Linked DNA regions of Struthio camelus. The protein of the gene in region 2 purifies or fractionates together with the protein of the main gene of each other region. This does not show direct contact. Links are inferred from orthologs where the notes say so. Each region holds a gene or a part of one and is shown on either strand. Other genes may lie near its edges.

The links.
Region 1: the proteins of STK24 (region 2) and CTTNBP2 purify together in Homo sapiens (affinity purification with mass spectrometry; 3 studies listed by BioGRID and IntAct, with this or other methods). This does not show direct contact. The link is inferred for Struthio camelus from reciprocal best matches to the Homo sapiens genes STK24 and CTTNBP2.

Annotation. Positions count from the first base shown.
Region 1 is NC_090942.1:28,493,471-28,500,986, forward strand, and holds the start of CTTNBP2 (cortactin-binding protein 2), read left to right. Parts: upstream 1-4,496; 5' UTR 4,497-4,826; coding exon 4,827-4,895; intron 4,896-7,516. UniProt on the Homo sapiens protein: Regulates the dendritic spine distribution of CTTN/cortactin in hippocampal neurons, and thus controls dendritic spinogenesis and dendritic spine maintenance.
Region 2 is NC_090942.1:164,904,918-164,912,536, forward strand, and holds the start of STK24 (serine/threonine-protein kinase 24), read left to right. Parts: upstream 1-4,594; 5' UTR 4,595-4,886; coding exon 4,887-4,928; intron 4,929-7,619. UniProt on the Homo sapiens protein: Serine/threonine-protein kinase that acts on both serine and threonine residues and promotes apoptosis in response to stress stimuli and caspase activation.

The DNA of each region.
Region 1 (7,516 bases), about 140 Mb from region 2:
ACTCTTCTATACCTTTCAGGAATTTAAAATGCTGTACCGCCTTTTTTGTCTTGACAGCAAATGTGGATAGCTCCTCTTCTTCCCATAGTGAAACAGAAAGAAAACAATCAAGAATCCAACTATTCCAGACTTGAAATATATTGATAGCTTAATAGAAGCTTATAGCTTTCAAGGCCAAGAAGATCAGTGTGTGATCTCTTCTTTCGCATAACACAGACTATAGGACTCCTCCAAATTAAACGCTGTTTTAAATCCAAAGACAGTACCCATTTTCAGGCTCTGGATTCTATTTTGGGCTCAGATTTCTAGAAGTTAGGCATAGCAAACTGTCAAGTTTTAGGTGTGTAAGAGTCCAGCTGGATCTAGCTTCCCTCTCCATGTGTTAAACTGAAGTCTCATTCAGAATCCTCCTGCTCAAGGTAAACTTCCTGAATTGTCACTTGTAATTTTTAGACATTTCTAGAATGTTATAGTATTGGCAGAAAGAGATTTTGTGTCATTCAAGGTAAAGCCACATTGATAGCAGTTTTCTCTTTCTATAAAGATGCTTAAGGATCTTGCTTAAAGATGCTAAAGATCTTTGGTCTTTAGTATGATGGGAGATTTGCTCCCATAGATTAGACACTACCTAATACTTCATTTTATGCTTTAAATATTAAAATACAATTCATAAACATTAACATAACTTGTTTGGGAGATGTCAGTAATGCTGACACACAAAATACCATTTTTAATAGAGTGTCTTCCCTTCTTTTTGTCCACTTGTGCTTTTCTAATCAGATTATAACCAGTTTTCAGCATTCAAATCATGTGAATCACATCACTGAGTTATAGTCATACTCAGCACTGTTGAATTTATGCTCACAAATCAATAATTCCAATACTTGTTATTTATTATCTATGCTCCTTGTGCATAGTCAGTTAAAGCATCTCTTCTATTGATGCCCACTGGAGAGTCCATTTTGCTCTCAACAGTATAATTTTATATCTCCTTTTCACCTTCCCTTTCGATGTTCCTTTAACATCCTCAGAAACAACAAACATGCCTTGTGGAATATTGATCCTCTTTCTATTGAATTTCACCCAGACCGTATAGTGCCATCTTCCAAAAAAAGTAACCCCTTCTTCACAAAACCCAAGCTAATGTTTCACTGTCAGAATCTTCTGTATTGCTTACAAATCTCTAACACCAAATTTCCTTGATGGGGTAATCTGGATTATGCTGTATAAATTTGATTGATTAGCCCTAGATGAGGGTGATGATAGAAGAAATGCCTTCAGTTAGCACTGGGGTGACCTTTGAAAAGATTGTAGTGATATAATGATTGCTTAGTTTTTTCAGATACCTCATTTTCCATAAAAATTTACCTTTTGGCTTCAATGTCTCCTACTTGCTTTACACTCAGACACAGGTTTATCTTTAGAAAACAGTGAATAAAATACCATTTCGATATTTTTTGTTTTATAAGAATAGTTAGTAACAACATGGCAAGGCCTCGATATACTGTATGATTTAGATGCAAAGCAATTTGCTTCCCTGCCAGTGTAAAGCCAAGCCATACATTTTCTATCACAGCAGTTGCGTGCTAATGGAGGGAGTGAGCACACTGCTCGGTACAGCAGCTGCATCCTGTAACATGTGGACATTCCACCTTTGCGTGCCAGTTCTCTAATCATAGGAAAGAAACATATTTAAAGCTCAGCTGAAGGGCCTACTCCTAGGCTTGGCCGTTCCTTTCTGTCACTCAATCCCAGTAAAACTGGGAGTAGCAGAGAAAGAGTTAGTTATTTTCAGTTTGCCAGCTACCAGCTACTACTAAAATAGGGAACACCTTCCTCTGAGAAAAGCACCTCCTTTGCTTCAATGTAGTCATAAAATAGAAGAAAATAGTCTGTCAAAGCACAGGCAATTTCTCCTGCCAGCAAGGCTCTGTGTTAGAGCTTGGCCATGTGTTAGAGACATTTTACTGTGCATGCAGCCATAGCAATGACAGTGCATTATGGGAACAGTCACCAAGTTGGGCTGACCATCTCTCCAAACTCATATATTATATGCGTAGATGCTACATTTTTGAGAGTGTAAAGCCAGTCCTGAAAGAGAGGATGCAGTAGCATAAACAGAGCAGCCAGAGAATAAGTAACACATTGTTAACAATCAAGGGGAGAATATTTCTTACGTTAGAGATGGTCCTGGGCCTGAAGGAGTTCTTCATGCAGCAGAACGTCAGACTTTTGCACCCAGCCGCCATCACGGACAATGTGGTAATGACTGCTACCCAGCATGAGAATCTGCTCACAGCAGTGATTAGTAATATCTAATGTGGATTTCAGTGCTCTCAAGCCACCAGTAAGCCTTGTTGCTGTCATTAGGGGGGAAAAGTTAAGAATTACAAACACGCAGTAGAGGCTCATACAATAACAAAAATCAATAATATTTTCAAAATGGTGTGATGATTAATTTAGCAGCATAAAGAAGAAATCTAGATCATTCCTCCTTCAAAAGCAAGCCTCTGATCTTTTCTGCCACAACAGCAAGTCAAACTACTTCCAACGCTTGGATGATATGCTGGATGTTAGTTGTATGGGGGCGGGCTTTTAGCTGAAGTCTTCCTGGTCCATCCATCCTATTAATTTTTGCTGGCTGAGATCTGAGACTTACTCCCCCTTCCCTCTCAGAAATAATTTCTAAATTTATCTTCAAATGAGGAAAGAGAGATCAATTCTCAAGCCTGAGATGGTAAGCTATGACTAATCTAATATTCATTATTATTATTTTGATAAATGTTCACTTGGTAATTGATAAAATATCAGCTAAACCTCAGAGTTTATGGTCTCAGCAGAGCAAGAGATAAATAGTGCAGCCTTTGCTTCATCACTCATGTGATGCAGACGGACTTAAAAAATAGCACTTACACAGGATGTTATGTGAATGCTTTGTACTAGCTCAGTTAGAAAGGCAGTCTAGTTACTGTGATGGTCAGCAGATGATTCTAACAAAAGTTAAATACCAGGGAAATACTGCAAATGATAAATGTAGATAGGAATTAATAAGTGAAAAGATATTCTCAAACCATTTCAAAACACTATAGTGTTTAAAACCCATTTGGAGGGGAGTAAGTATGAGAAAGTGCATAGGAGATAAGTGACTTTTCCTTAAGTTTCTTAATGACATGCTCCTAGAACTTCATGCCATCAATAAAGTAAGCAAGCATAAATTTATATTAAAAAACAATTACACGGTATTTGAGTTTGGGGAACTGAGAAAAATAAGCCAGTTTAGGCTCTGTGCCATCAATGGTGTTTCTCAACTTCAGCAGTGGAAGGGATGTTAGCAAACAGTATAGTTAAAAAAGTGTAAAACTTGAGTAGGAAGAGAGTTAGGTGGTTTTCATGCCGGAAAAAAAAACAACGCATCTATTTGTTTGGAGTTTATCTGCACTGTAACGGATCCTATGTACTGAATTCTGCTCACTCTGTTCAGTGAACATTTCCATTATAGCTGAAGTTCATTCTATCAGTTTATCATTGGTTTGTCTTATGGGTATGTAAAGGGGAAAGTTCATGCATGTTTTTACTTAACAGCCTTAGGTACAGCATGCTTGGAGGACCATTAGCTGTCTTTAATGAAGGGAAGATGCTGGTCCCTTTCTGTCTGCACCAAGTATAGACCAAGAATTGAGTATAGACCAAGACCTGAAGCAGCCCTAGTACACATGGAGACAAGCAAGGCTCAGTGGGAAAAGTTGTATGACTGTAGAATAAATAATGTCCTGGATTCTGTTTAGAATGGATTTGAGTTGGTCCTAGAGGAAGGTACATTCAGTTTTGTTTTTGGTATATGGCTAGCTAGGTGGGGTCCCAGAGTGGGAGAAAAGCAGTGAGGCAAGTCCTCGGGAAACACCCCTTCCAGCTGCTGGGGGACGTGCGGTTCAGCCTAGGTGGGTAGCAAGTGAAAACCTTTCTGGGGAGGAGTTCAAGCAAGCTTTGAGGCAGGTACTGGTCTAGAAAGACAAAGGGCACTGCCAGGCCCGGGTGCGCTCTTGTCTGGCACAGGAAGGTTTTAACTTGGCCCCAGAGTGCTAGGCCTGGATTAAGGTCCAGCGTAACACAGGCTCTGAAGCCTGCCTCGCTGGAAAATACAGGACTAAGCAAGGTCTGTCAGCCGAAATGTGCTCCCCCCGCCCCTCCACGGGAGGTCTGAGGAGAGGTGCTCTTTCCAGTGAACTCCCTCAGTCAGCACCACCAGAAAGAAAAGGGTATCGGTAAAGAGGTCCCCTTCCCCAATACACTTCAGCTGCTTTAAGGATCTAACTGGGCAGGTGAGCCAAGCCCATTGCAAAAGCTCTTTTTTTTGTTTTCCTCCCTTCCCATTCCTTTCTTTTCATTCCGCTACTCCCCAGGCGCAGGGGCGGGAAGGGCGGGAGAGGCGCGGAGCGGAGCGGGGCGCGGCGCTGCGCGGGGCCTGGGCACTCCCCTCCGCCGCCGCCGCCGCCACCGCCGCCGCGGCGGGGTCCCGCTGCCCCTCCTCCGCCTGCCGCGGGGCCGGCTGGTGGCGGCTGGGGGGTGGCGGCGAGAAGGAGGGGAAACCCGAGCGCCTCTGGATCGCCGTCGCCCAACTCCGCGCGTCGCTCGCCTCGGCCGGCAGACGGGGCAGGCTGGGCTTCGGCAGCTCTCGCTGTGAGGCGCGGCGCCGGAGGGGTTAAGCGCCCCGCTCCCGGTGGGCTTGGTGCCGGCGGGGAGGGGGTTAAGCGCCTGGCGGCGGCGGCGGCGGCGGCTGCCACTCGGCTCCGCTCCGCGCTCCGCGCCGGAGCCGTTACAGCGGGAAGATGGCGACGGAAGGCGCGAGCGGCCAGCCGGGCTCTGGCGGCCAGGAGGACTCGGCGGCCACGGCAGCGGTAACCGGCTCTTGCGGGCCTGGGGGCTTAGACCCAGCCGGGGCGAGGAGGGTTCCTGTGCGGATGGGACGAAGCAGCGCTTGGAGACCTGCCTCCCCCGCTCCCTCCCTCCGCCCTCCTTCTCCCCCGGGGCGGGACGGGGCTCGGCTGCGGCGGACCCGCCGCAGCCGAGCCCCGTCCCGCCCCGGGGGGGGGGGGGAGAGGAGAAGAGAGAGGGGCGCGGGATGCCTGTCCGCGGGCGCGGAGCGGCGGCGGTGCGGTGCTCTGCTTGCCGCCAGCTGCCCCCCTTCTCCCCGAGCCCCCTACGGGCTCCCCCCATTGTTCCTTCCCGCTGCCCCGGCGCGGGGTCGGCGTGCGGCGGCGAGGAGCGCGGCGCCCGCCAGGGGCACGGAGGAGGCGGCGGGGAAGGGCGCTGGCCGGGCAGGGTGACGGGGCGTCGGGGGGCGGGGTGGGGGGGGAAGGCGAGAGGGCGAGGCGCCCGCGGGGCTGCTCCGTCCGCTGCCATCTCGCCTTGCCCTCCCCCCACCCCCCCGCCTTGCGCCGCTTGCCACAGCGAGGGGGGCTGCGCCCCTTCTCCCCGGGCGGGCTGAGGCGGTGACAGCGCCCGGGGCGGTGGGAGCTGTCAGCCCGCGGCGGGGGAAACGGCTGAGCTTAATGCTCGCCGGGCGGCCGATCCCGCAGCAGCGAGCTTTCCTTTTCGCTCCCTTCTCCCCGTGTCTGTCTTATTGCTCTCCTTGGTCGTTCCCAGAGCCGTGGCAGCGCCCCTTCGCTGTCCGCCCGGTGTGTGGACATGGGCACGGCGTGGCTGTGGGGGCCCGGCGGCCCTCACCCCGTCAGGGCTCTGCCTTAGGGGCAGAGCTGGCTCCCTGCTTAGAAAGTCCCAGCACCCGAGCAGAAAACCCACGTTATGTCTTTCTCCGCAGGTGCTGAGACACCTTGAGGGAAGACAGACACAATGTGGTGCCCGTCCGTGTAAACTCTTTGAGCGGAGCCTTTTGCTCCGCTGCGTAAATTGGCAAGCGATAAGGCTTCTTTCTGCTGCTCCTCAGGTAATCGAGCTGCAGGAGAGCAGAAGTTAGCCTGCTCAGGTGTCCACTCGTTTAGTTCATCCTGGCTTCTCACCTGTCCAGTGACCCCGAACAGGGTAGAGCGGTTGCAGCGCCATCTCCCCCCCATGCTCTTCTGTACCCACAGAGGAGCATCCCAGATCTGCTGTAGTCACATCTGTGGCATTTGCTTGTGGATTGTCTGGTGTTAATCAGCTTGTGTTAATAGTCCAGTTGACAGTTATCGTTGAGAACTGGATGGCGAAGTCCACTGTCAGGCTGTATTCTCAAGGGTTGTAGATGCTTTTCATTGTAACGAAACACATTGTTTAGGATAATAAAATAATCAAGTCCAATTATTTGTGAAGGTAATGACCCAAGAAGGGAGGATGGTACTAGTATCTGTGAAATTGAGGATATTGTTAATATTTGCTTTATTTTCTTTCAAACAGGCACTAGTTCTTCTCTGAAACCATGTTCTAACTGTATACTTAATCATCTTTGTGCTTTAAATTCCAGACTGTTGTCCTAAAAATTGAGTTTTACTTTAAAGAAAAAAAGGAATCCTTACACGATGAATATTTATAACATCACTGTCTTTAAAAACAACGACTTAACTGTGATATAACTGAATATTAAGGTGAAAATTCATAAAAGCAAAATATTAAATACTTGGAAGATGAATTTTGAGCAACAATTCATTTATAATGTAATTTCTTTAGTATACTCATCTTAAGTTTTAGTTTTAAGAACTCAAAACAATAGCTCAGAAACAAGTAATTATCTAATGTTGCACTTTTAGGCAATGCAGTGTAAGCCACCTATGCAATTTGATGATCTCATTGTCTAAGGTAGGAGCGATAGCTCTACACTGCACACTGTTTTTAGAAATACTTTCTAGTATCCCTTTAGTTTTTAAAAATAACCTCTGTGTTCCTCTATAACTTAAGTAATAGCTGTACTTAAGCAATGACAATATTTTTAAAAAGCTGACTTTTATTTTTAATTTGCCTTCAATCCTTAAATATTTAATATTCCTTGTCATCTTTTTTTCCCTGCTGGTATAAACTTTAGATTTTTTGTTTCCTTTTATTTCTTGTATGGGAGAGTAAAAAGAACTCTTCTATGCAATTAAAAGGTTTTAAAAAATATTTATACAATACTCTAGCGTGCCTTTTGAAGGGTTATTTTGAATAGCTTATTTTCTGTCTCAAACTCAATACAAAATTAGGAATTGAATCCTCTTACTTGCTGTCAGGATTACAGTAAGCATCTAGGTGACTATTTTGTAAGTAATGCTAAACTTAAGTTTATAATGAAATATTTTATTTTCAATACACTTTTACTTTTTTTTTTTTTAATTCTCAGAACCCTGAATGCACAAACAGTGCAGAGAAAAACTGTAGGAACGATAATTTGTCATAGTAATATATTATTGTGTGAAATACTGTGGTGTAAGTAGGAGGAATATAACACAGTAGGATTTCCTCATACTAAATGCTGTTCTGATTACGTCTGTAAGTAGCATTACTGCACAATAAGGCTTTTTTTGCTACTGTTAGAAACATTACAGAA
Region 2 (7,619 bases):
AGGTGGCCTGCAGTAAACCCCCACAACAGTGTCACCCATGTTAGCCTGCCCTTTAATCCTTTATCCATAGGCTCTCAACTTGCTCTTCATCCACCCCGAGGCAGAGCTCCATACATTCTAGCTGCTCCCTCACATAAAGGGCAACTCCACCACCTCGCCTTCCTGGCCTGTCTTTCCTAAAAAGCACATAGCCATCCATGACAGCATCCCAGTCATGTGAACTATCCCACCATGTCTCTGTCACTGCAATGAGATCATGGCCCTGCGACCGCACACAGATCTCTAACTCTTCCTGTTTATTCTCCATGCTGCGTGCATTGGTGTACAGGCATTTCAGAGAGCCAGTCAAGCATGCAAGCTTCCCAGGAGAGGTGCAAGAGGATCCTCCATAGCCATGTCCTATGCTGTCTCCCCTGGCTGTATGCACCCGCTGGAGGCATCCTGACTTGAGCAGTGTATTACAGACTCTCCTGCCACTATACCACTCCCCTTCCCCCATCTTGCCTAGATCCGTGTATGGACTTACACTTTTATCACTTGACTGTTTAGATTCTTTAGGGATCATTTGTGAAGAACCTTGTTAAAGCTGTTTTGCATTATCTGCAAATGCAATACATTTAAAATAAAAGCATTCAAAATGAAGCTCTAAAGACAAAATAGTGAAAATTTTATTATGTGTACAAAGTACACTAATCTATTAAAAAATTATATATTTTTATACAGGTTGCTAAAAAGGTTTACTAAGTACAGAAACTGATCAGTAGAAGAAAGAAAACAGGAAAGCCTGAAGAGCACGGATAAAGACAATAAAGAAATGAAAAAAAAAATCCAGCAACAAGTTTAGCGATGAATAATCTGGTAGTATCATTTGATTAATTGTTCCACAACCTTCAAATCAAGGATGCTTGATGATTATGGTGACAGGATGCAACTGCTGCCATACAAGATGGACCAACTCCATCCTGTCTGCTGGGGAGGCTCCATAATACCATAGCCATGACTCTACTGCAAGCAATGGGATCGCATATTCAGCCCTCTCATTCTTTTCTGTTCACTATGTAAATTTGCGCCTTGTGCTATTTATCTGCATAAAGATTCCTTAATCACCATTACATTTTTCACGCATTATGTTTTTAGACAAATGCCCCATCTGTTACAATCCATAATGTTTTCAAAATATGAATACTGATTTATTTATGCTATATTATATATTACAAAGTTCAAAAGAGAGAAGCTTTTGGTACATCTTTCTTGTTGGAAAACATCAATAGTCTGACATTACTCATTTGAGAAGAAATTTTAGTCTTGGTCAGTAAGGAAAAAGGTAATTTATGAAAGGAAATTCATAGTCATTGCTGTTACAATGAATAATACTCTTCTTTCCTAACTTTTTTTCTTGTACAACCAGCAAAGCACAACATCTCTGAATATGTGAAGTACTGTTTTAAGTTGAAAGTGAATCAGGTGTTGTGAGCCAGCACATAAAATAACTTAAGTTGACTGAATTTTTGCATGTTGGAAACATCTGGCTTCAAAAAGATACAATAACAGGGAGCCAGCTTACTAATAAGAATTGTTTATTTTCAAAGTCCTTATCATTGTACTAGAATAGCAGGCTGTCCTAATGTGCAAACATTCTATTTTAAATGAAGATTTCTGCAAGAATAGCCTTTCTTTGGAATATAATATACAAGGGCTGAGAAACAGAGAAAAAATTGCAAGGCTTCTGTTATTTAGTCTATGAGGAAGAAACTGAAGGTTAGGCTAAAAAATTAGCATTTACAAAAACAACAACAACATACAGAAAAAAAAATCATTATTTTAAGATTACATTTAAAACTAGTTTGGTTAAAATTTCTCTACGTTCAGAAGAGAAGTTGGAATTGTACCAGAACATAAGATACAGTATAGAATACAGAAGTTGACAGAAATTAGGAATTCTAATACACTGTTCTTAGTTCATTAGAACTTAATTTAGACTGATATCTGCTTTGCATTTTGGATCTGCTCCTTTGTTCCCATGTTTCCTTTGTTTCCCTAACAAGTAAATCTGCTCATAGAGCTTATTCCACTGGCTCAGTCATTTGTTAGGCATAGTGTCTTGTTGAGTATGTAATGCAGAGCCATAAACTTCGGAACCTCGAAACTTTGAGGTGAAAAAAATCCATCATCTTTACTCAGTGAAGGAATATAAGCAAAAGATGGTTAAAATAGTTCAAATGATTTCACATTGGCCCTGGGCTAGGACCTTACATGGGGAAAGTTGCTTCAGATCAGCTAGAAGATGGTAACTTTTTCTGTGTATACTAATGGATAAAACATAATCGCTTTATACCTTTTCTTAATACAAAAGATGAAGCTTAGTTCTATACCCTTTGTATTTTTCACTCTGCACTGAATGTGCAAGTGCAGAAAAAGTAAGGCAGCTGGTAAAATGTGGATTGTAATGACAACATAGAATGGAGCAGAGTTAAAGCTGCATAGGTAACAGCAAACCTGACACTGTCTCCTTGGGGATTTTTAGTATTTTGTGATGTAGCTAAAGCTAAATGGTATTAATAGGACAAAGAAAAAGGCTCATCTACAGCCCACTGCCTTTCTCACTAGCAATTTAAAAACATACTACAAACAGTGGAGTAAACCATGGAGACATCAAAGATTTTTTTTTTAAATAAAGATTGCAAAAATATTTTAAGATGGAAAACAATCTAAATAGAAGGTTTGATGCCAATTCTTTTTATAAGTCTGTTATTTAATCTGATTTTTGATTGAAGTAGAACTCATCTAAATGAAAGCTTTTACATTTCTTAGGAAATTATATATTAATAAAGAGGTGAGGCATTTTCATGTTTTTGAAAGTTTACAGAATTTAAAATGTATTCCAGCATTAAGTAAACTAGCAACTCATTCATAAATAACTAATAAAAGAATTCCAGTAGTTCAAGTTTCTATACAACTTCTATCCATCATCCGTTCCATGTTTCACTGTACTCAGGCACTGATAAGTCTAGTCTAATTTCTAAGGAAAACAAGATTTATGGGATTGTGTGTGTGTGTGTGTGTGTGTGTGTGTGTGTGTGTGTGCGCGCGCGCACGCCTGTATGTGCCTGTATGAGGCTGCTGGCTAATTTCATTCACATTTCACTGAAGGGTAAAAATCTTGAAGACAGTTAAGTTTCTACAAGTTTCAGGAAGACAAGTGTGCAGCATTGGCTCAGTCCATATTAGACATACACAAAAAAAATACCGTAACTACGGAAAAAAACTTCAGTGGGAGAGCCTGTGTCTAACCAAATGTCCAAGAGACCATGTTATACTTTAAAGCTTTCCAGCAGTTACGAGATTTGTACAAACTCTCTCTAGTGGGCTACCTACTGAAAGGCAATTTACGCTACAGTGGAAGCTCACCCCTTTTCTGTAGCTCCCAAACCCACTAGAAGCTAGGCTTCATTAATTTCACCGTTCATGAAACTACCTATTCATTTGGGGTGGGGGGGAGAAAGGGAGAGAATCTCATGGCATAATTAGCATATTGCTAAATTTATGATGTAACTCTTGAATCTCAGTTTAAACTGGCCAAACACGGGAAATACAATATTAACATGTTCTTAAGGGTGTTAAATGGGTTTCCAGGGTTTCTCACGAGGAGGGGAGACGTGGACTGCTGGCCCTCTCTTCTTCCCATTTAAGAAGTACTGTAACAACATCATGACTATTATTTTGGCTTAGCTCTTTTGCAACTTCTGACAGGAAGTCAAGTGCTTCCTGAAACCATAAACCTCAGTAGGGCTATAGCATTACTGTGACCTTTCTTAAAGCGTCCAAGTGAAGGGGAGGCAGGAAAAGGACATACCAGAAAATGTCTAGCGTTTCTGCCATCTTGATCTATCATCTCACTCCGGTTTCTTTATTTTAAGCGTGCAGCCTCTCCGCCTGACGCTCATCTCGTTTCACCTGCTCTGTTTCACTGACAGCCAGGAAGTTGCTCTTGATTTCGACTGTGGGAAAGGAGAAGCAGGTCTTCGGGTTGTGTGTGTGTGTGTGTGTGTGTGTGTGTGGAAAAAGAAAAGAAAAGAAGAAAAAAAAAAAAAGAAAGAAAACCCAAACCCCCAAAGGCCGTAGCACAGGGGCCGGGCAGCCGGTGCTTTTAGCCTCGAAGACGACGCCAGCCCAGCGAGCTGCCTGGGGCTGCCGGCTCGTACTCCCGCCGCAGGGCCGGGAGCGCCGGAGGTGCTGACGGCGCTCAGGCCCGGGGCGGCGGGTCTCGTCACACCGCGCTACGTGCGCCAAACCTCCGGGCGTTTTGTCCCTTCGCCAACCCCCTCCCCGCGGCGGGGGCGCGGGCGGGCGGCCGTTCTCGTTCCGTTATTTCCCCGCTCCCCTTCCCGCCGCCGGCCGTTGGCCTCCGAGCTCGCGCGCGCGCCCGCCCGCCCGCGGGCTGGTGGGGGCGGGGCAGCGCGTGCAGGTAGCCGGGTAGGAGAGGCGGGGCGGGCGGGCGAGCATTCCCCGCCCCTCCCCCAGGTTTGTCGTCGTGTGGCGGCGGGGCTCCGCGCGCCGTCGCACCAGTAACGGCCGCTCTGCGCGCGCGGCAGGGGGCGGTTGGGGGGGGGGGAGGAGGCGGAGGCCGCCGTCGCCGCCGTTGCATCCGTGACGGGGCCAGAAGAGCCCAGGCTTGGGACAGCCCCTTTCCCACCGCCTAGCCCGCCCGCGCACAGGCGCCGCTCGCACGGGGGAAGGGAGAGAAGAAGAAGGAGGAGGAGGAGGAGGAAGAAGAGCAGCAGCAGTTTGTATGTGTGTGTGTATGATGAGCTCAGCCCCGTCCCCTGGAGGCGCCTGAGGGGACCTGACTCCCCCCACCCCCCGCCCCACTCTCTGTCGCCGCCGCCATGGCTCACTCCCCCGTGCAGACGGGCCTGCCGGGGATGCAGGTGAGCACCAACCGCCGTCCCCTCTGCTGCCGCGGACGTTGGATGGGGGATGGGCGGGTCCCCTCCTTCCCCCCCCCGCCCACCCCAAGGGCAGGCACGGACACGCACCCACGGCGAGCGGTGGGGGAGGGGAGCCAGGGCTTGGTCCTTGTATCCCTTCCCTGTATTGTCTGCCCGGAACCGGCGGGGCTCGGTGGGGTGGGAAAGGAGGGGAGGAATAGTGTGAAAGGGGTGCGGGGTCTGGGGTGAAGGGCGGGCGGGTGTGGTGCCTGGCGGTAAGGGGATGCCCTCAGGCTAGAGGGACAGGGCGAGGGGGAAAAAAATGCCTCTTCACTCTGACTCGGTCTTGAAGAAGGTGGCGAGGGGGGGTTGGCGGGGAGGAGCCGGATCTCGTAACCCCTGGAAACAAAATGTGCTGTCAGCACTTCACATAATGCATAGCAAGGTCTCTCTGCTTAGTGAATCCCTCCCTTTCTCATTGCTTAATAGCCGCTGTTTTGATGGAAGTGTGCTTGGTAACCCCCCCACCGTCCAGTAGTTCTGCCGGGCTGTTTTGATTCATGAAATGAAACTTGTCTTTAGAGACGATTTTCAGTCCCGTTATTTTGACGTGGCTAGGAAAAATATGCTCTCCATACGTAAAAACAGGGCCTGAAAACGTTGACCTTCAACGTGTGCTGCAGTGCCCATCTCGGTAGAACTGGCTAGTGGGGGTGCTGTTTGAGGTGGATGTTTGGAGATTATATTTGGCTTCTGTGTTTGGCTGTAGGAGTTGGTTAGCTGTAGCTGTTATACAGTGGGATTTGCTGTTTTTGTGTTGTAACTGTATTTTTTAAATAACTGATGTGGTTTTCTGGTGACTAAACTGGCTTTTTCCTTGTTTTCTTTTTTTTTTTAGTCCAAATTCAATAACAAAGTACTGCCAGAAGAACCTTAAGGTCTTTGGTGTTTGTGTGTTATTGTAATATTTTCTGTGTATTATTAGACACTTCCCTGTGCACCCCTCCCGCAGCCCCCAAAAGAAATACTTGTGACTGGGACATAGAGTTTTTCTGAAATTATCTTCAAGGTTAAAAGTTTTTGTGCTTCATTTGGTTTCAGTATTGATTTACTTTGGATCATTTTCCCATGAATCAGATTCTAGTTCATGAATCTTACATCCTTGCATAGCCTGAGGATTTGAATTTAAAATGTTATATTTGTGCGTAAATCAAAATAACTACTCTACTTCCCACAAACTGAGGGGAAAATGGACAACTAATAGTTAAGAGTCAGCTTGAAATTGTGTATGTTGCCACCTGCATAATGTATTTTTCCTATTCACATTCTTTGTACTCTGGCTTTGCTTTCCTTCTACCCTGGAGAGTTCTCAGCTTCTTTGTACCCTGCAAAGCTATTCATCTGCAAATATCTTTAAAATCACCCCTTATGTATTGCTTGAAAGATATGGACATTTTTTTAAAGGAGAAATTAAATGGAAAATAAACTATTTAAATGTCCTAAAGTTTGAATCATAGAAGTCATGAGAAAAAAATGTGTTTCTTAAGAAACTTCAGTAGCATGTTGAATGAATGGTTATGTCAATGCTCAGGCATATAGTACTAGATGCCAAATGAGTACATAGGCCCTCACTCTAAGTGTGTATATTTGTCACTCTGTTGAGTGTTCAAGTTCACCTTCCAAATGCAAGCAGTGTGCTCATCTCCAAAGACAGAGAGGTAACAGTTTGTTGCTAACGGTAGGGCTAGATTAATGTTGCATTTTTTTTAATACTTTGAAATATTTTAGAACCAATAACGCTATTTACTTTTTTTTTTTCAAAAAGAGTCATAGTATTTTTGAATTTAAAAAGTTGGATCTGGAGATGCTGGGAAATAAAGAGAGCAAAGTTTATTCCTGCAGTTTGCATGCAGTGCTTATATATGTGATTGCATGATCTCTCAAAAGACCTAGGTTTTCTTGGCTTATTATTTGATTTATTGTTTAATTTGTAGTACTGTTAGCTGTACTAACCGGATAGATATTCCTTTTTTTTGTTGTTAGTCCATATAATTTGGGAGTTTACTTCAGATTTTTTTATTCAATACAGTATTATTTTTCACACAAATTTTTATTGTATTCTTATGAGTGAGTTTCTTGAGTGTTTTTGAACATTAACAACTATGTAAAAAAAAAAAATAAACCCAAAACCTACAGATAAGTAGGTGCATAAAGTTCAAGGTCGGTAGTGTGAAAATTACTTGCTAATTTTCTTGCCCAGTAAAAGATGTCTAGATTTGTTCCCACTTTGCCAGAGTGTATAGCAATTTTATAGTGTTTGGTTTTCAGTACATGATTCTCTTTGACTTTATCTGCAGATGAGTGCTCAAACTGTGTACCGTTAAGTACATATAATTTGTCACAGCTACTTAAATAAAGCAAAGTTTATGGTTTGTGACTTTTCATTATGTAACAGAGAAAGGAACAGAACTCAGTTCTCTGGAGCGTGCTTAAGTTGCCTAAATGACGGGACTGTATTTTCTTCCTGTACTGTGATCCCTTCTCCCCACCAGCAGATTTTGCAACAAATCTTGGAAGTAATGTCAGTGAGAAGTTATACAGCTTTTTCTGGTGTTTATTACTGTCCTTACATAAGAGGGCAATCAAGTGTAAACAAGAGTCAGTTCTTGACACCCCAAAATCCCATGTTGG